Astyanax mexicanus: one gene and its partner. The protein of the gene in region 1 purifies or fractionates together with the protein of each later gene. This does not show direct contact. Links are inferred from orthologs where the notes say so. Each region holds a gene or a part of one and is shown in the gene's direction. Other genes may lie near its edges.

Evidence for each region. The genes of interacting proteins can lie anywhere in the genome.
Region 2: the proteins of chuk (region 1) and eif2ak2 purify together in Homo sapiens (affinity purification with western blotting; 3 studies listed by BioGRID). This does not show direct contact. The link is inferred for Astyanax mexicanus from reciprocal best matches to the Homo sapiens genes CHUK and EIF2AK2.

The regions. Positions count from the first base shown.
Region 1 is NC_064414.1:37,824,325-37,834,607, reverse strand, and holds the start of chuk (inhibitor of nuclear factor kappa-B kinase subunit alpha), read left to right. Parts: upstream 1-5,183; 5' UTR 5,184-5,695; intron 5,696-7,082; coding exon 7,083-7,187; intron 7,188-7,382; coding exon 7,383-7,477; intron 7,478-7,567; coding exon 7,568-7,685; intron 7,686-7,816; coding exon 7,817-7,886; intron 7,887-7,988; coding exon 7,989-8,077; intron 8,078-8,161; coding exon 8,162-8,251; intron 8,252-8,486; coding exon 8,487-8,611; intron 8,612-8,882; coding exon 8,883-8,990; intron 8,991-9,108; coding exon 9,109-9,244; intron 9,245-9,341; coding exon 9,342-9,536; intron 9,537-9,644; coding exon 9,645-9,747; intron 9,748-9,841; coding exon 9,842-9,965; intron 9,966-10,088; coding exon 10,089-10,240; intron 10,241-10,283.
Region 2 is NC_064414.1:2,503,717-2,514,036, reverse strand, and holds the start of eif2ak2 (interferon-induced, double-stranded RNA-activated protein kinase), read left to right. Parts: upstream 1-6,028; 5' UTR 6,029-6,326; coding exon 6,327-6,436; intron 6,437-7,280; coding exon 7,281-7,422; intron 7,423-7,821; coding exon 7,822-7,958; intron 7,959-8,043; coding exon 8,044-8,176; intron 8,177-8,904; coding exon 8,905-8,957; intron 8,958-9,188; coding exon 9,189-9,344; intron 9,345-10,320. Other genes in the region: cytochrome c oxidase subunit 5B, mitochondrial, read left to right, coding at 140-252; gpatch11 (G patch domain-containing protein 11), read left to right, coding at 1,597-1,646, 2,412-2,638, 3,523-3,564, 3,641-3,761, 4,260-4,350, 4,728-4,835, 4,929-5,010, 5,143-5,201.

The DNA.
Region 1 (10,283 bases):
CTTTTGGACATGTCAAAGCTCAGTGCGCGTGTGTATCATGGTCCAGCTTCTGACAAGAAAAAAGGCACAAAATGTTGTATTGCTTCAACGGCCCTAAAGAAATATTTGTTAACTACATTAAAATCACAAAAATTGTTCAAAATAAATAGATTTTAATAAGACAGGGTGAATGCGAATGCGAAAGGAACCAAAAGTTCAGAGAGCAGAAGCTTGAGGACCTCGGACCGCCTTGTGTGTGATTGGTCCAAAGAAATGCTAGAAGCCAATCAGGTTTGACTGCCACAGCATTCACAGCGTCATAATTCATTTGCATAAAGTTGAAAAACATTTATCGCTTGTCGCCTCTTGTTTGTCACGGCGACAAATCGCGCCCTGCCATAGGAAATGAATGGTCACCTGTTGTGTTGTTGTTTCCAGTGTGAACGCAGAGTGAGCTACCCATATGTTAACATGTGACAGTGTGGGATGAAAACCCAATGGTGGCACCTTGCCAAGTCCAGGTATCGAACCCCAGCTCTTTAACCATTGACACCACCTATGTGCCCATAAGCAAAGCACCTGACTCCTGTGGCTGTGGAGGTGGTTGCCCATCATTCCGTGTGTGTGTGCTCCCACTACCCAGATTCACTAATGTAAGAGTGTGTGTTCAAGGCCATGGTTTCAATATCTGTAAAATGTGTTTTCAAATCCAGCTGATTTAAATGCTTAATCCAAACTTTAATGTTTCTCAAGCCTGGCTTGGGGCCCATTTAAAGGTTACATCTTTGCTTATGTGTAAATATGTGGAACTGGCTGGTGGGCCCCAAGAACTGATGGTTAAGAATCACTGCTTTTGTAACAATCTTTGTAACAACCTTCTGCTTTATTCCTTATTTCTAAACCCACCTAGTTCTCTCACACCGCCATACATTCACACAAAGCAATCATAGTTTCCCAATGGTAGAACAAACTACCTTTTAATGCCAGAAGAGGAGAATTTCTTGCTTTAAGAATCTTTAAGAAACTCCTGAAAACAGAGCTCTTCAAAGAGCACCTACTCTCCTAAAACCCCCAACAAGCTAACTACCTCTAATCTCATTTCCTTATTCGCTTTCCTGTTCTTTTATACTTTATATTTTATTGATTTTTTATATGTATTGTTTTATCTTATCCTTCTCTTGTAACTTGTGTACTATGTATACCTGCTGCTGGATGTCCAAAGTTTCCCCTCAGGCATCAATAAAGTATCTATCTATCTATCTATCTATCTATCTATCTATCTATCTATCTATCTATCTATCTATCTATCTATCTATCTATCTGTCTGTCTGTCTGTCTGTCCGTCCGTCCGTCCGTCCGTCCGTCCGTCCGTCCGTCCGTCCGTCCGTCCGTCCGTCCTTCCGTCCGTCCGTCTGTCTATCTGTCTGTCTGGACTTCTATGTCCTCTATTGCTAAATGTACATCACTATTGCAAGTCACTTTGGACAAAAGAGTCTGCCAAACATAATGTAATGTAATGTTATGTAATATAAACAATGTTACTGTGTATTCAGCTCATATTCTCTTGAACAGAGTTAGGTATGTAGGTAAGAAGCACTCAGGTTTAAACCTAACCATCCTAAAAGCAGGTTTGTACCGACTTCAGTTAAAAAAAGATATAAAAGCCAGACTCTGAGGAAACTGCGCAATACTGTCTGTACAGTGCAATTCAGTGGTTGGGGGAATGTGCAATACAATGTCTAACATAGATCCGGTTGGAGGTTTTTTATTTATGGGTTTCAGTTGTTAGCACTATAATACAAAATATATGTATGTATTCACAGTATCTATTTACTATATATGTTATACACATAATATACTGTATTTGGATATGTTGTCTATACTATACTATATATGTTGATTTGTTTTATTATTAAACTCAATCTTGGTCATCTGAAGCGACCCAATACATACAATATAATATAATGACAGTTTTGTCATCCTTTTTGATTGGACTTAGCAGCAAAAACAGTTTGATTTTCTCTTTAATTGTATCAAAAGACATTCTACATTTACCTATAATACAACATTTCTTAATCTGCACTTGTCTGTTGCATGTTGCAATGTAAATGTTTTTAGAAATACTGAATTACGAAATGGAGTTTGTTTTGTGGCTGCTTGTTGATTTCAGTTTTATATTCAGTGTGTTTTGTATTTTCCTCTACTGCCATCTACAAGTTAAAGTACTGTATTTATTAAAATCTAAAAAGGGGAATTATAACACACATACACACACAGAGCTGCAGCTGCTGTGTGACACAGCTGTTGTGTGCATGAATCATTGGGAGGCTGTCACACTGCGAATTCACAGCAATTCCGTTTTTCCTGTCTAACACATCACACCTGCACCACTTTCAGAGAAATTCGAATAGAGAGAAAAGGGAGGCTACATAATTTTCTCACACTTGAAATATTTCTCTGGACAATGAAAAAATATTTTAAGAACAAAATGTTTTTCATGAGTGCCGATGAATGTATATAGAAAAAACGATTTAGTTCTGTTCATTGTGCTAAAATTGACTCATTTTCTATCATTTTCTTCCAGAAATTATTTTTTTTTACCTTATTTAGCTCAGACAAGTTTATGCTAAGGACTGAAATGATTGACTGCATTGGCTAAAACAGACCATTTGCAGGACTGTACTATTCATTACATGCATTAGCTGAGTTGTAGCATTCGGCTTGTTAATTGTTCAGACACTCTGTCTACTCTGTAATCTGTTGTTATTTGTATAAAATGGCCATAGTGACTTAATTAGTTGTTAGCCTTACACCTAATATTACTGTTAATGGTAATGTTACTGTTACTGTTAATATTAATGTTGCATATGCTTGATGTCTGCCTCATGTATCCTGCATTCGTTTGTTCGTTTGGTGTTTTGTTCATACAGGTTAGACAGGATAGAAAGTTTTGAGGAGCAGCTGTATAATGTGTTATTGCCTCCGCACCGCAACAAATATGCTCATCTGAACAGCTGGCCAGAGATCAGCATTGTTTTGAAAAGCTGATGTCAAAACATGTACATTGAAAAAAGTGATTTTTCGGCTTGTTCCAGCTACTGCGCTTGCACAGATCTCCACATTGAGGAGAACTTTCCCATTAAAACACTGGCCCTCCTTTGATCAGCAAGCTGATTAGCTCTTTTTGTTGAAGGGTAGGGCTTCATCCATCAACAGATACCACGATAAGCATTACGAGAAATCTACCAGTGGCCGGTCACCTCATTAATACAATCTCTGTTAGCATCAGAAATATAAAGGGTTTAATGGCCACTCTTTATAATAGCCATTCTTTGCAGATTAACATATCTTATACATAAATATATCAGCATGCAATATATATATATATAAAAAGCCCTGAATAGAATATATTCCTGGAAGACAGATAAAAGGGTGGTTTCCTTTTGACTTATTCACCTCTTGTTTACTAGAAGGCCAAATATACACACTCTGGGTGTTAAGATGCTGCTTACAGGAAATGTTTGGCAATACAAGCTTGTGCTTAAAAGTACATACCGAGTTTATTATTATTATTAAGAAACCTTAACTGCAGTTTTGTAACAAAGCATCAGCCTGATGATTTTGGTGCAGCGGAATGATCTGATGAAGTTAAAACTAAATATCACTGTAGTTTGAATTTGTAAAGTTACACACTTACAAAACCTAACAAAAAATAGCAGGCTCTCAAATTACATTTCTCATACTATGTACATATGAACTCAAAACTTAGATACTTTTTCACATGTAGGTTTGGATTTTATTCTCCCTTATTAATAATAAAAACCTTTAATTTAAAAACTGCATTTTCTGTTTACTTGTGTTGTCTTTGAATAATATTTCAATTTGTTTAATGATCTGAAACATTTAAGAGTGACAAACATGCCAAAAAATATCATGAGGGGGCAACAAATATTTTACACCATTGTATACAGTATTTATAGATTCAAAAAAGCAAACTAAAATCTTACCCACTACCACAGTTTCAAGTGCTGTGCTGTGATCTATTTATGGATGAAGCAGGTTCTTAAGAAGTTACAAGATGGTCCAAAGAGGCCATTGTTTGTAATTGGTGATTTTGGCTGTTTATATAAAAACTAGTAATAGTAGTACAGATCTTACTAAAGAGTTTAGTGAAATATATTTTATTCCCAATTTGGAAGGCCAATTACACAATCCATGTTCATGTAAACTCCCCTATCACAAGCAATGCCCCCAGCACTAGGAGAGTGAAGACTATCACATGCCTCCTCTGACACATGTAAAGTCAGACACAGCCTCTGTCTGGACTTCATTGATGGAGCATTACTGGGTAACCAGCAGCTCCCCAGATCTAATACATCTGCCAACAGCTGTCTGTGCTGATGAAAATTACAACTGAAGTGACGTGGTGAAAGAGTGCCACCTACCAACCCTCAAGAGCAATTCCAATTGTGTAAAATTGAATTGAATTGAATTGAATTAAATGATCTAGGATACGAACTGAAAAGCCCTTGATCAGACAACAACGGTAAGTACAATATAACCCCCCTTTTCTTTGTGACTGCCATCATTACTTTAATAAAAGTACTGTATATGCAACTGTTATCACAAATTCAGTGTCACGTCATGTGTGCTATACTGTATTTTTTCTCATTGTTCCTTAATGAGTTAAAGCAGGTGTATGCTGTTACTAAACCAACCGCAACCAAATGTGGCTTTTTAGTGCACTTTGAATGGGATGACAGGAATCACTTTTATGTAACAACTATTTCTGATAACACAAAGTTATCATAATTCCTAAAATATATGACAGCCATATATTATCTACTATGACATAAGAATACGGCTTAAGAATTTAGCTGATGCTACTGTAACTGGACCTATTATGCAGAAATTGTTATTTTGAAGTTTTATTATTATTATTATACGGATAATAAATACGGAGACATAGAAGAGTTTAAGTGGGCGCCTTGAAGTGGGCGGGTCTATTTAGTGGGTGTGTCGATGTGGGCGTGTCTAATGAGCAGAGCGTGCCCTGATTGGGCGTGGCTTGTTGTGGATAGATCAGGTTGTACTGCTGACCTGATATCGGTTCTGTTAGCAATGGGCGATGTGTAAAGAGCGGGATTTGCGTTAGGAGACTGATCTCTGATCAGCTCAAACGGCAACTCGGTAGTCTGCAGCGCGCCTGCGCACTAAGCTTGTTTCGATTTCGAGTGCTAGCGCTAGCCAGTTTGTTAGCTGTATGTGAGGCGCTGGTCTACAGCGTTTGTTCCTTTAGTCGTTGAAGAAATCTCGATTTTAAGCTTTGTGTTGTAGCGTAGTGCTGTTTAGCGGCTGTTATCTGGGCCGGTTTTGGTGTTTCAGGGAGAAGTGCTGGTGTGAGGCTGACTTTTCTGAGCTAGCTCCGCTGCTAGCTGCGGTTACCTAATTGACTGCTGCATTACCCCAAGTTGTTTACGTGTAGCTGGCTAACGCTAACGCGGCTAGCTGGCTCGCTGTTTACCAAGTAACGTTAATAGCAGTAACGTTGCGTTTTAACGGGGCTTCGCAAGGATGACATGGATGTCGCCGTTATTCTCTACGAACTGACATATTCCATTATCTTCACATCTGGCACATTATCTTCACATCACAAATTACAGGCTACTTTCAAGCTAGCCACACAGATTGGTGAATCAGACCAGACCGGGCAGCGGTAAGATAACTTGGCTAGCTAAGCTAGTTAGCTAGCTAACGTTAGCGCTTGTTGGTTAGCTATAAGTGATAATGAAGTGTCAGGCTTAGCGTTAACTAACTAATTAGCTAAGTGAAATAAATATTACTCCACAAGTTAACCAGTTAATTTATTAATTCGCTGTTTATAGCACTTGACTAAATACAAAACATACAAGTGTGTTGAGCTGTCGCTCAGGCTGTTAGTTAGCTAACTAGCGAGGTAACCTAGGTTAAATCACTAACACTAGGTAACTTAGCTAACTAGATACTAACTACATACAGCTCTCGAAAAAACAACAGACAACTTAAAAATGAGGAGTTTCTTTAATTTCACCAAATTGAAAACCTCTGGAATATAATCAAGAGGAAGATGAATGATCACAAGCCATTAAACCAAGCTGAACTGCTTGAATTTTTGCACCAGGAATGGCATAAAGTTATCCAAAAGCAGTGTGTAAGACTGGTGGAGGAGAACATGCCAAGATGCATGAAAACTGTGATTAAAAACTAGGGTTATTCCACCAAATATTGATTTCTAAACTCTTAAAACTTTATTAATATGAACTTGTTTTCTTTGCATTTTTGTAGGTCTGAAAGCTCTGCATATTTTTGTTATTTCAGCCATTTCTCATTTTCTGCAAATAAATGCTCTAAATGACATTTTTATTTGGAATTTGGAAGAAATGTTGTCCGTAGTTTAAAACAGAAATTAAATGTTTACATTTTACTCAAATATACCTATAAATAGCAAAATCAGATAAACTGATTCAGAAATTGAAGTGAAACATGCCGGAAAATAATATTGCGACGTTTTAGGGTATTTTTCCGGTAGTGATATTCTTGGCATGATGAAAAACAGTAATATTTTGTTAAATAATATTGCAAGAAATCACTTCTGCAACAAAATATTGGAATCCTTTAAGTTTTATTTCATGAAAGTGTAGTTATTATCTTTAAGCATATAGCAGAAACAAAACAAATCTGTAAACTTATTTTGTCTATTTAGTAAACAGTAGCTTAGCTAACTTGCCTAACTTGACTTTTTTTGTACTGAATCATTTTAAGTGCAAGCATATAAATCTAAAAAATAATCTTTAGGCTTCACAGCAAATAAAAGGCACAATATTACTCTGTCACATATAATGCATTACCACCCTTTGAATGGCAATGACGTTTTAATTATCAGTACTATTGATTAGAACAGGAACATACATAGTGTTTATATAACATACATTTAGGCTCAACAATTATACATGCTATATTCCGTAAACATATTGAGGTTATGTTCATATGCATGTCTACATATTGTGCAATTAGATAATGCAATTATTATGACAGGCCTAAGTAACAAGTGTTTTTCCCTTTAGATGGACAAACCACCTTTCAAACAGACTCAAGTATGTGGACCCTGGGCTATGAAGGAGAGGCTAGGAACCGGAGGATTTGGTCATGTGTATCTTTACCAACATCAGGTAAAGCAAATTTGTTTTTTGGCCGCTTAGGGTTGTAGGTGGGGAAAGTCTGCACCAAGTACCTACCTAATAGACCAAGTGAAGAGCTTTGGAAGTAGTGGGTGATTAGAATATTTTGAAGGGAATGTCTGAATCATCTATAATGTAGCTACATTATGTTTATGTTGTTGAGTTAATGATATTTATTTCATGTAGGAAACCGCTGAGAAAATTGCAGTGAAACTCTGCCGGCTTGAGCTCAACGCAAAAAACAAAGACAGATGGAGTCGAGAGATTCAGATCATGAAAAAGTAAGTTTATAAGGAATTTGATTACTTATTTGCTTTCTAAATTGAATATATTTCTTATGCAAAGTTTAATATTTGGTTAACTCTTTCTAGATTGAACCACATCAATGTGGTGACAGCACGGGATGTACCTGAAGAGATGAAACACATTGCCTTGAATGACTTACCTCTATTAGCCATGGAGTACTGTTCCAGAGGAGATCTTCGTAAGGTGTGCTCAAGCATTAGCTTATTTTAATTGCCCTGTCTGTCATGTCATGTAATTGTCACCTGCTTTGAAGAAGACTTTCCTTTTTCCATTCTTCTTTATTTCCTCATACCATTCTTTTTTTTTTTTTGTAGTTGTTGAGCAAACCTGAAAATTGCTGTGGGTTAAAAGAAAGTGAGGTGCTGTCCCTTCTTAATGATGTCGGTAATGTATCACCTCTATGATAATATCCTTATGTATTTGCTTCCATTTCTACTCAGATGTGTCAAAAATACTGTTATTGAAAATGTTTTTTTATATTAACAGGTTCAGGAATTCAGTATCTCCATGCAAACAAAATCATTCACAGAGACTTAAAACCAGAGAACATTGTGCTTCAAGAGATTAATGGAAAGGTATGTGATATTTTATATGTGAAAAAAACTACAGTTTGAAATGAGTAGTTTGCTAACTTGTATAATTTGTTTGTCTTGTTTTAGTTAGTACACAAGATTATAGATCTGGGCTATGCAAAAGATTTGGATCAAGGTAGCCTTTGCACATCTTTTGTGGGAACTCTTCAGTATTTGGTGAGTCTTGTGACTAATTATTGTGAAATGAAAATTGTTAGAAACTAAATTTCTGTGTTGCTTGCTTAAACAGTAACAAACATTTACAAAGTTTTAATGGTAGTTCTTGTGTTTTTGCAATTTATGTTTTGTACCTGAACTATATATGTATTGATAACATTTTGAGTGCTAGCGCTAAAATAAATTGCAATTTGGCAACTTTATTAAATTGTTTTAATTTATTGTATTATTTAAGGCACCAGAGCTGTTTGAAAGCAAGCCGTATACAGTCACAGTTGACTACTGGAGCTTTGGCACAATGATCTTTGAGTGCAGCTGTGGTTTTCGTCCTTTTCTACACAATCTACAACCTGTGCAGTGGTATGTGCCTGGTCTCTTATATTATAGTAATTCTCTATTCATAGATGTTTATAAATTATTTTTGTTATATAGTTAGTATAGTTTTATGCCACACTCTTAACAAGTTCTGAGATTCAAATCATGTCCAAATTAATAACTCTATACTGTTTAAATGGCTTTTAATAATAGCCATTGCCAATATTATAGTTAAACAAGCAAATCACAGAGAATGGATGGTATTCAACATATACAATAAGACATGATTTCACACGCACAATATTTTGTTTTGTAGGACAAGCAAAGTGCGTAACAAAGGCCCAAAAGACATCATGGCTGTAGAGGATATGAATGGAGAAGTCCGATTCAGCACTCATCTCCCTTATCCCAATAATCTCAGCAGGTAATAAAGTGTGTGTTTTTTTGCACTAAACGGTAAACGTCTTTCATCTGCATTAAGTGACCAGGAGTTTCAGCATATCTAAGAAAGAATAAATGTTCAATGATTTTTCATTCTCTAGGACTCTTTTGGAGCCTTTGGAGAGTTTGCTGCAGTTGATGCTGAAGTGGGACCCAGTGCAAAGGGGAGGTGCAATGAACCCTGACACTAAACAGCCACAATGCTTTGCACTTCTTGAGCAAATATTGAACATGAAGGTTGGTCTTTTTAAAGTCACCGCCTCTGATGAAGAATGCTTTATGAAGGATCTCCAGCAGAGGGCCTTAATGTCTGATGCACGTTCCGTTGTTTTAGGTTGTACACATCTTGAACATGACCACAACAGAGGTTCACTCTTTCCTGCTAAACCCTGAGGAGGGCCTCCACTCCCTTCAGCAGAGAATTGAGACGACGACAAAAATCGAACACCTGAATCAGGAGCTCCTGCAGGAGACGGGAGTAATGCTAGATCCAAGGAAGCCTGCAGCACAGTGTGTCCTGGATGGAGTTGTAAGTGGATTATAAAATTACTGAATGATCTAAACTTTCTTCAAACATAAATTGGACTTCTATAACTGATATGCTGCACTTTTTGTATTGTTCATTTTTATTAACCAGAGAGGATGGGACAGCTATATCGTGTATCTCTTTGACAAGAGCCTAACCAAGTACTCTGGACCCTTCACTCCAAGGGCACTCCCGGAGAGCGTAAACTTTATTGGTAAATGATACAGTTGCTGTGTATTATTATAATAATTATAATAATTTTAATTAATTTTAAAAATGACATGGTCTGTATTCATCTTCTTCTGTAGTACGTGAGACCAAGACTCAGCTTCCCTTGAGTGCCCTTAAAAAGGTTTGGGGCGAGGCAGTGAGTTACATCTGTGGCCTTAAAGAGGACTACAGCCGCCTTTTCCAAGGACAAAGAGCTGCCATGTATGTCCGTCATATAATCCATCTCATATGTATATATATATATATATATATATATGTTTACTTCAGGATTATAGATGTTACCATTTGACTGATTAAATGTATGCATTTGTTCTTTTTTTTAAGGTTGAGCCTTCTTCGGTATAACACAAACCTCACTAGATACAAGAATCTGATGTTTTCATGCTCGCAGCAATTGAAAGCCAAGCTCGATTTCTTTAAGAGTAGTATCCAGTATGACCTGGAGAAGTACAGTGATCAGATGCAGTATGGAATATGTAAGTTTATTTTATGATTCCTCTATAAATGTATAAACCCTTC
Region 2 (10,320 bases), about 35 Mb from region 1:
AAATATGACACATTTAGAACCAAAGATGTTTAATAAAAACAGGTGTAATTTCTTATTTATAGTTAAAATTAGTATTTAAACAGGTAGGAGTTTACTACCAGGCTGGAGTAAACATTTATTTTTATTGTTGTTTTTGCAGGTGAGGAGGATAACACTGCTATCGTCTGGTTTTGGCTCCATGAGGGAAACTCTCAGCGCTGTCCTTCCTGTGGAGCACACTATAAACTGGTCCATCATGAGCTTCCCCACTGAGTCTCCAGCCAAGACATGAACTTTACCTCACAGGCCCGAAATGTACTTTAATAAACCTTTCCAAACACTCACAGCAGCTCAGGGTGATCATTACTACTGAATGTGAGAAACGAGTAAAACCCTTTTATACAATGTTTTAAGTTCTGAGTGCTGAATGTTGCAGAAATGTGCCACTAGGTTAATTTTTATGTTGTATTAATTTGCAGAGATTATTGAATTCATTACGTTTCCACAAAATGGCTAGAAAACGTTATTTGTAATTCACCATCAGCAGCCAGATTCAGAGAGAGAGAGAGTGCAGTAGGTCATGCTACTTCACCATCAGTAGCCAGAGTCCAAGAGAAAACAATCTCCCATCACTGCTCCCATTGTGATGCTATGCCTGTAGGCTGATGGTATCTGAGCTGGCAATTCGGCACTTTCCTCTGAGTGTCAGCTGCCTAGTGATGCTGTATTGGTGGCAGCTGGAAAAGGGGCGGAGTCTAATTTCACATGTGTGACCCCCTAGTGTCTGAGCACTGTAGTGTTGGTGAAATCCTAGTGAGTGGGTGGGTTAATTGTTTCAGCTAAACTGAGGTGAAAATTGAGTAAAAAACAAATATACTGCAAAGCCCATAAAGAATCACTTCTTTTTGGCTTTAGAAACATTGTAGGAGCGTTTTAATGCAGTCTTGACCCATGTAGGAGGATCACAGTTAAATTAAAATGAACTAATTCACTACTGTAAATAAGTACTAAAATGCTGTATATTTACTCTACTGGAGTATTAGTATGTGTTGCACTGTTACTCGTTAAAACTATACAAAATATACTCAATAAATTATACACTGTTTCGTACCATTCCAAACCCATACTAACCCACAGATAAATTATAAATGCAGCTGAACCCAATAGAACCCAGAAAACCACTCATGATAAATGATAAAAAGGTATGCACTCATTCTCCCAGAAGAAATTTTCTATTGCTAGATCTTGCAAACTCTTAAACATTTCAGACCTGAATTATCTCTAGTGATTAAAAATGATCTCTAGTGCGTCTGTAACGCACAAACAAGATATATATATTTATATTAAATTTATAATTCCACTGGAAGACTGTGTGTAATATTTTATATTTCATATTGACCTTTTCTATTTCATAAAACCAAACCAAAAACAGTAAAAACATTATTTAAAAGTGTTCTAAATTACAGCAAATTAGTAAAAAATAAGCTGTTACTTTGCTATACTTTGCTACTCTGTTACGGTCATGGTCTTTTATTTTGAAATGTTGCTCTGAGTCAGTCTGTAGTCTTCGCTTGCTTCACTGCTGTTCCACAAGCTGCTGTATTTGTTAATAAAAAAATGTCTTCAGATGAAGAGGATTATATGTCTGATGCTTTTCTGAACCCACAGTAAGTGTTGAGAATAATCTGCAGTTAATCCGCGTTTTAATCCCTGCCAAATAGTAATTTAGGACTAGTACGCTCAGATCAGGATTAGTGAGAAGCTAACAGGCTAACAGTAAACATTAGCACCCTCAGTAATAACTCTAATATTTAACTATATTAAACTGTATAATGCAAAATGTTGAACATATTTTGTATTATGCATGATACGAAAAGATAACTCATTAGCGTGTACAGCGTGATTTTATTATATCGTACTTTATTATATTATATTTATTATATATTTATTATATTATATTATATTATATATTTTATTATATCGTACCTAACAAAGTTACTTTTAGCCAGTTGATTCTATTTAATGGAAATAGTTTTTTTCTTAATGTTTATGATCATTTTAACAGACATCAAAATACTTTTGTCTCAATGTAGAATTTTTCCTTTTACTGCAGTAATATTTTACCTTCCCTATCTTTACTTTAGTTCAAATACAGGATTTATACACTGCATAAAAATGCAGTTATGAATATGTGGTATTACTGTGCACAGACTTATTACTGTCTGCTGCAGATAGCAGATATATTGTGATGTAATTGATGTAATTAAGGGAGATCTGTATTGTGATGATGTAATTATAGCACATATATTGTAATGATGTAATTAAATCAGATCTATGTTGCAATGATGTAATTATAGCAGAGTTATATTCTGATGATGTAATTAAAGCAGATATATTCTAATGATGTAACATGGTTCTGATTTGTGAGCCAGGCTGGACGTCAGGCCCGGCGTGCCGATGGTGAAACGGGAGAAGGCGGCTCGGAAGAGAGAGGATCTCCATAAAGAAAAATGTGTAGAGAATCGACAGAAAAGCATCAAACAGCAGGAGCTGGAGCAGCGGCAGGAGGCGCTGCAGAGCTCCATCAGCACCGAGAACAAGGGCTTTGCTCTGTTACAGAAGATGGGCTATAAGGCCGGACAGGGACTTGGGAGAGAGGGTCAGCAACGCAAAAACATCTGACATCACATTCACAGTCACATTAAGGAGATCGATGGGCTCAGAGTGGTCCAGTAGTCTAAAGCACTGCCATTATTATCAGGAGATGGCTGGTTTAAATCCCGGTCATGTAGCTTGTCATCAGCTGCCGGAGCCCCGAGAGAGCACAATTGGCCTTGCTCTCTCTGGGTGGGTACAGTAGATGGCGCTCTTTCTCCTCATCACTCCTAGGGTGATGTGGATCAGCACAAGACTGCATCTGTGAGCTGATGTATCAGAACCGAGTCGCAGCGCTTTCCTCCAAACGTTAGCGCTGTGATGCTACTCGGCAATGCTACATCAGACTGAAGCATATTTCCTTTAGACAGATTATAAAAGTGTGAGTGAAATAAAATATAGATATATATAAGACCAAATTGCATTTTTCATAACTAAGCTTCATGAACATATCCATATTTTTTTTTTATCAGAAACATTGACATTAATTTTGTATTAACATTGTCCAAAAACTTTGAATTGCTTCCCTGAATCTAATCTAAAAGTGGTCAGTTGAGGAGTCATGTGACTGATCATTTGCAATGACAGCTCGTGTGTACCCACATTTTATTTTATTTTATTTATTTATTTTTATTTTTTACAATTGTATTTATTTGATGAAGACTTACACCCTATAAAGCTTAGGCCTTTAACAGTAGGCAGCACACATTAGGTTCAATTTTCTCTCTTTACAGAGATTCATAATAATTACTGGTTGATCAGCCCCATCTATAGGCAGAATATTGTGTTTGCAGATGTATTTTACATGGTTGTTAACTGTGTTTTGGTTGGTCAGTTCATCCGTGCTCTAATAGTTAATTATTATTAATAGATGTTATTATGTTGCAGGTTCTGGGCGAGTTGATCCGATTCCACTCAACATTAAAACAGGTAGGAGGTGTGTCTGAGTTACGGGTCTGATCTAAAATGTTCTAGACTGGAAGGTCCTGATGTTTGTGTTTATTAGACAGAGGTGGGATCGGATTGGAGGAGCTGAAGAAGCGGAAGGCTGCGGAGGAACTGGAACATCACCGCAAAAAAGTCCAGATCAGAAAACAGATGGAGAAACGAAACCTGGAGGATTTCAGGTGAGCACCGGTATTTGGGAGGTGCATGTGGTCAGGAGTGTTCAGCATAAGTTAGATCTGTTTTTAACCATGTTATTTATGTTTCAGTATATTGTGTGTACAGTAAGGTGCTGTGTTTTTTACTTCATTATTTACATTTTAAATGTTATAAATAATAATGAATTGAGACATTAGTTAAATAGGTAATTCATAATAACTATTATTAATATCTTAACTAGTGTGTGGTAATAATTAGTTGAAACATTTTGTTGTTAATATACTCTTATTGTAAATATTTGCAAGAGTAATGTAGAGGCGTCTATAGCTGATTGATTATATTAGCATTAGACGACACTAAAAAAAAAACTAAAAACTAAAAATTGCAACCTCTAGAGTGCATTTTGACAAAAAAAATACTGTTTTTAGTTCTACAAGACAAAAAAAATACTGTTTTAGTTGTGCAACCCCTAGTTTGTGTTTGTGTTTAAATAACTAAATCTAGACCTGTTTACAACACAGAGATCGTAAGAGGTCGGAGAAAGAGAAGCAGCAGGCAGAGGCGGATCTGAGGCGGAGCCAGCGGGCCTGTCAACAACTCGACACCCAGCAGGTTAAAAAAAATTAATAATCTGATGATCAGATCTGATCAGCTTCTTTATATGTGTGAGTAAGATTTTGACCTTTGACGCTGTAGCCGCAGCCTCCAGTGTCCAGATTCAGTTGTTTTAATAGAAACACTAAGTGGTTGCAGCCCAAGCTTTATAATTTATTTCACTACCCCACCCACAACTGAAACCCTCCCTCACTGCTGTTGTCCATTTCCAATACTTATCGTATGAATTACAAATTGTTGCATTGCCCCTAATACGACACATGTCTGATTTTAGAACCACATATGAAAGTGGCCCAAATCAGAATAAAAACAAACAAAAAACGATTTTATTCTGTTCACACGCAGCCTCAGTGATGCCTGTTTTTCTGTTTTAGGGTAAAGTCGCACCGAAGGATGTCTGGTATTGGCCTGAAGTGATCACTGAGGAGGCAGAGCATCCTGAAGAGTCCAGTGATGAGGAGAGTGATGAAGAGGAGATGACGGTAAAAAAAAATAAACATGCTGACTTAAGAAGTATAAATATGATTAATATTCAGCTTACATATGATAACAGTGTTGTTTCTTTATGGTTTCAGTCGTTGGAGAAGCTGCAGTATATCACCTCGTACCTGCGGGACGTGCATTTCTACTGCATATGGTGTGGAACGGCATACAATGGTACACAAAAAATAAAAAAATCATTTTTGTTCATTTTTTTATTTTATCTTTTCTAAAAAAACAAGATTGTATCATAATAAATGTTTGATCGCTTTTTAAAATAATGATCAGACATTGTTTCTTGCTTTATAGATGAAGAGGATTTAAGCTCAAATTGTCCTGGAGATACGGCAGCAGACCATAATGATTAAATCAACAGGCTTCGTCTGGCACATCTGTCGTATAATTTTAGTTTTCATTATCTTCTTTCAATTTGTTCTGAAGAATTTTGTCTTTGTCTTGATATTCAAATAATATTTATTTGTAATAAATTCTAAAAAATATTTTGATTGTGTGTCTGGTTTGTTGAAAGGTGAAAAATCACATTCTGATGGAATAATGTAAGAATTTGGGAGGAAATGTTTATTTTTCAGTTGACGTTACTATACATTTTGAAGCATGTTTATTGTGTATATTTATTGTGTATAGTAAAGGTTGTATATTGTTTGCTGAAATAGAGATCCATGTTATCTGCTGGTGTTGGTCCACTGTGTTTCATCAAGTCTAAAATCAGTGCAGTTTTAATTTCCTGCAAAATCTTACAACACAATGTTCCCCTCTGCTGACAACTTTACAGGAAATGTGGATTTCTTTTTCCAGCAGGACTTGGCACATTGCCCACACTGCTCCAAAAGTACCAATTGGTCTAATATAATATTCTAATTTTCTGAGACACTGATTTTTGGGTTTTCATTGGCTGTAAGCTATAATCATCAACAATAATTGTTATATAATACAAGATTATTAACGCTTAAAATAGATCACTCTGTGTGTAATACATCCATGTAATATATGAGTTTCACATTTTAAACTGAATTACTGAAATAACGTAACTTTTCAAGCATATTTCTAATTTTTTGAGCTGCACTCGCTGTTATTAGTGGCGAGATCGGACTTTTATTTTGAAAAAAAAAAAAACGTTGCATCGTGGGGCTCGGCTGGAAACCGCTGCTGTGTTCCTCTAGTTCCGCCCTCTGTAACACGCGACCCGCGTCGGGCGGATTCTATTGGTCGGCTGTGTGAAGTCGGGCTCGTGCAGGGGAAGGTTTTTGATCAGAAACGAAACTTATGCAGGTTTCTGTAGATCAGGAGCGACAGCCGGAGCTCAGCTCTGATCACAGGAGCTTTTTTACAGCGTTTTATTATTTTATTAAAAAGTATTTATGTTTCCTTTAAACTAACTGATCTCTGGTGTTTTTTCACTCTGTGCTGCTGATTGGACTGTTTGGATTTTATTGATTTTATTGATTATATTGATTATTTTGATTGATTTATTAATGGCATCTAGCAGTAATTACATTGCTTTGCTGAATGAGCGCACTCAGAAGACTGGCCTGACCTACAGGTTTGAGGATGTGGACACTAAGGGTCCAGATCACAGCAAAATGTGAGTCCACCTGATTCCTGAACTTAACTGTAGCTTATTGTACACCTGTACAGGTGAACTGTAGCCCGGATGAAGCAGCTGTTTTTACTCTCTGTAGAAATTGACATTAGATTTCCCTTCACATTGAACAACTACAGGATATATTTATGGTTTTATCTGCTACTTTGTATTTGTAAACTACATATTTGTATATTTTAATTGTTGGTGCAGTTCTATAGATAGTAATATTTTTAAGTCCCAGTCCTCAATTCTATGATGTGGCAGTATTTTTATAATTTATTATTTTGTTACAATAACTATTTTTGTATTAATCGGTAATGTTGCTATGTGTATTTTCTATTTTATTTTACTTATTCTACTCTATGTTGTAAATATAGGTCTCTGCATATCAGTGGAACTTGCACCCAAGTTTTTCACTCACCTGTACATCTGTACTTTTGTGATGTGACAATAAATCTGATTTGATTTTGATTTCATTTTAATTTAAATCTTTTAAATAATTTAAATCTTTGTCAAAATGCGATTATATGGAGACATTTTATCACTATCAAGGCATAGGATTTTTTTTTTAATTTGTACAATTTTACAGTTTTTACATTCTAAAGAAATGCATTTGACATACGTACTAAACAACAACAAAAATCCATAAAACTCCTCATCTATGTTTGTAATATTTATGATTAAATTCGTTTTTTTTATTATTATTATTGGTATTTTTTAATATCCCTGCTACTGTTGAACCTGTTTGGATCACCCTATAGAAAATAAACTTTAAGTATAATGCTTTAAAATGTTTAACCTTTAAAACAGTAATATATATATATTTTTTTAATGTAATTTTCAGATTCACCGTGAGGGCGGTGGTGAATAATAAACCCTATCCTGAAGGCGTCGGACGCAACAAGAAAGAAGCTAGGCAAAATGCTGCTAAGAATGCCCTCAGTCTCATACAGGAGGAGGAGCCAGCTAGTACAGCAAAAGTGGTGGTTAGTTGAGAAAATCTGCACCTGAAAAAGACAATGGTGGAACAAACTACCCTCCACTACCAGATCAGGAGAATCTCTCGCTATCTTTAATAAACTCCTGAAGACAGAGCTCTTCAAAGAGCACTTACTCTCCTAACACCTCTAACACACTAACTACTTCTAACCTCATTTCCTTCTTCCCCTCCTTCACTCCTCTATCCTATTATTCCCCTTTGTCCTCCTTTTATCCCTATCCAAAGATGTTTTACCTTTAAACTTATTTTACATTGTACTTGATTATTGTAAGTCGCTTTGGACAAAAGCGTCTGCTAAATGTAATGTAATGTAATGTAATGTAATGTAAACATGAATACATAAATATATGCATATATATATATATATATATATTTACATCTACAGGTAACCAGTCCCTGCTCACTCGATGGTTTACCAAAGCTGACTCAAGCCAACTTTACCTGCTGGCTGAATGAATACGGTCAGAAGATGAGATTAAATTTTAAGTTCGTCGAGTCGATGCCGCTGGACTCCAACAATCAGCAAGTATCTAAACACCTCAAATTAAATTAAACCTACTTATAATGAGGCGGTATTTAATATTATTTATGTGATTTTTCTTTTCAGAATACAGTATGCCTGTAAGTTTGTTTGTGGTGATAAAGAATATCCGACAGCCGTCTGCAGAGTAAAGCGGGATGCGAAGGAGGAGGCGGCTAAACTCGTGTATAAAGCAATTAATGGGGAGAATAACGCTGAGGTCAGTCACTTACTGTTTTTGTAAGTGTTATAAAGTGTTACAAACTGAAATTGTAAAAAAAAAAAAGAAAAATACATTACATTTGTGTTTTAAAACTTTTATCACATTTCAAAATGCTATATGCACGGCTAATGTAGCTTAATAAATAAGAATTTAGGTACATCACAATAGGCAAATCAGTCAATCCTTGTCCCAGTCCCAATAATTACAATCCCTGTATGACCTGCCAAATATTTAATGGTCATATGAGTGTGAAATATGAGAAGCAGAACATGTAATAGTCGTAACTCTAAATAACCAGAAAAAATCCATCAAGTCAAAAATAAAACACTCAGCTTTCAGTCAATTCTCATCTTATTTTGACCATCGCTGTAGTAATGCTAATTTCTGCTAGCCAGTCTATGAGGATTTAAGTGCTTATTAGCCACAAGCTAACGAATGTTAGTAATCACCTCCAAACATTTGGTTTAATAAAACATTGTAATTAAAACTCAGATGATTTTAGATTTCTGTATTGCCAGATTATTATGACCACCTCATTCTGATACCGCTACTTACTTTTTTTATGTATAGCACTTTTTAATTTTTTTCGACAGTGTTAATAGTTAATGCTTAGTGTTCATGTAAATGTATTTAATGAAACTGTGTGTCTTAATATTTCTAGTTTATTTAAACTTTAAACTACTTCAAAGTTATGATTGTGATTTTAACAATAATTTATATTGAAGGTTCCCGGTGAAAGGACAAACGAGACACAACAACCGAGCATGTCAGATCTCGGGTAAGTAATGATTTTTTACTTTTAAACACCAGTATTACAGTGTACAGACCTGGACCTAAAAACTGAAATTTTTAACTTAATTTTTTTATTTAAATTAACTATTAACTTTTGCGGAAAAAAAGAAACATGAATCAGGAATCATCTTACAGTTGTTCCATATGTTTAATTACGTAACACTGATTTAAACTCTGTGAAAACCTGAATAATCCTGTTTATTTTGTTTTCTCTTAGCTACTCCCTGACTGGTCTATCCCTGAGCCACAGCCTTTCTGAGAGCTCTGGATTAGATAATAATTTTAAAGGTTTACTGAACCACTACTGTCAGAAAAGTGGTCAAGCCTGGGACTTTAAACTGGTAGACAAAAGAGGACCCGCCCACAATCCTGAGTGAGTATTCACAAATCACACTCTTCATTTACTGGAGTGAAACTGACATTCTTAGATTTACACATGAACTGAAGTAGTATGACAGAATAATGTAATAGAAATAAATTTGATGTATTTGTGTATAGTGTAGGACATAATGTGTTTTAATCTTGGATTATTTAAAAGAATAAAATACGTAATTTCACAAGATACTTTTTAAAATACAATCAATCTTTTTTTAAAAGGTATACAAATAATAGTTTTGCCTCCAAGCAGAGTTTTTTTTTTACTGGTGACTGTAAAAATGTCCTAAAATTCTGTAGTGTTGTGAGGGTTGCACAGTAAGTAGATGTCGTCAGTGGATGCAAATGCGAGTAATTTTTAATAACAAAAACAGAAACCAAATAAGCACGAAAGCAAATAAACTAACATACAGGAATATACTAAAAAACAAGAAATAAACTAGAACAAGAAACACACGATCAGCACCTCTTAACAGACGTAAACACATACAAGAACCAACAAAAGAACACAGAAACAAAGGGGCTATAAATATACACATGGAAGTAGACAGAAAAAACAGAAACAGGAAACACCTGGGGACTGGTAACGAGGGGGCGGAGTTATAAATGAACACAGGTGTATTTTAGTTTTTTTTTTACTCGGGATTACATTGAGGGTAGCCCTTATTTATAATGTTGCTGAGCATTTACAGTACAAAAGGGATTGAGAACGTTTAATAAGAAATTAGAAGTAATAAGGAACAAAATAGTAAAAAAAATAATTTACTAATTTACTACTAAATACTAATTGTATCAATATTTACCATAGATATAATAAAATATATATGTATAAGGAAAAAAATAGAAAATTCTAAAAGGCCATAAAAACAAATTGACACATAAAAAAAAAATAAAATAAAAAAATAAAATAAAGAAAAAGGTAACAGTAGTAATAAAAGTAAAATTATAAGAATAATAAGAAATTATAAAATGAA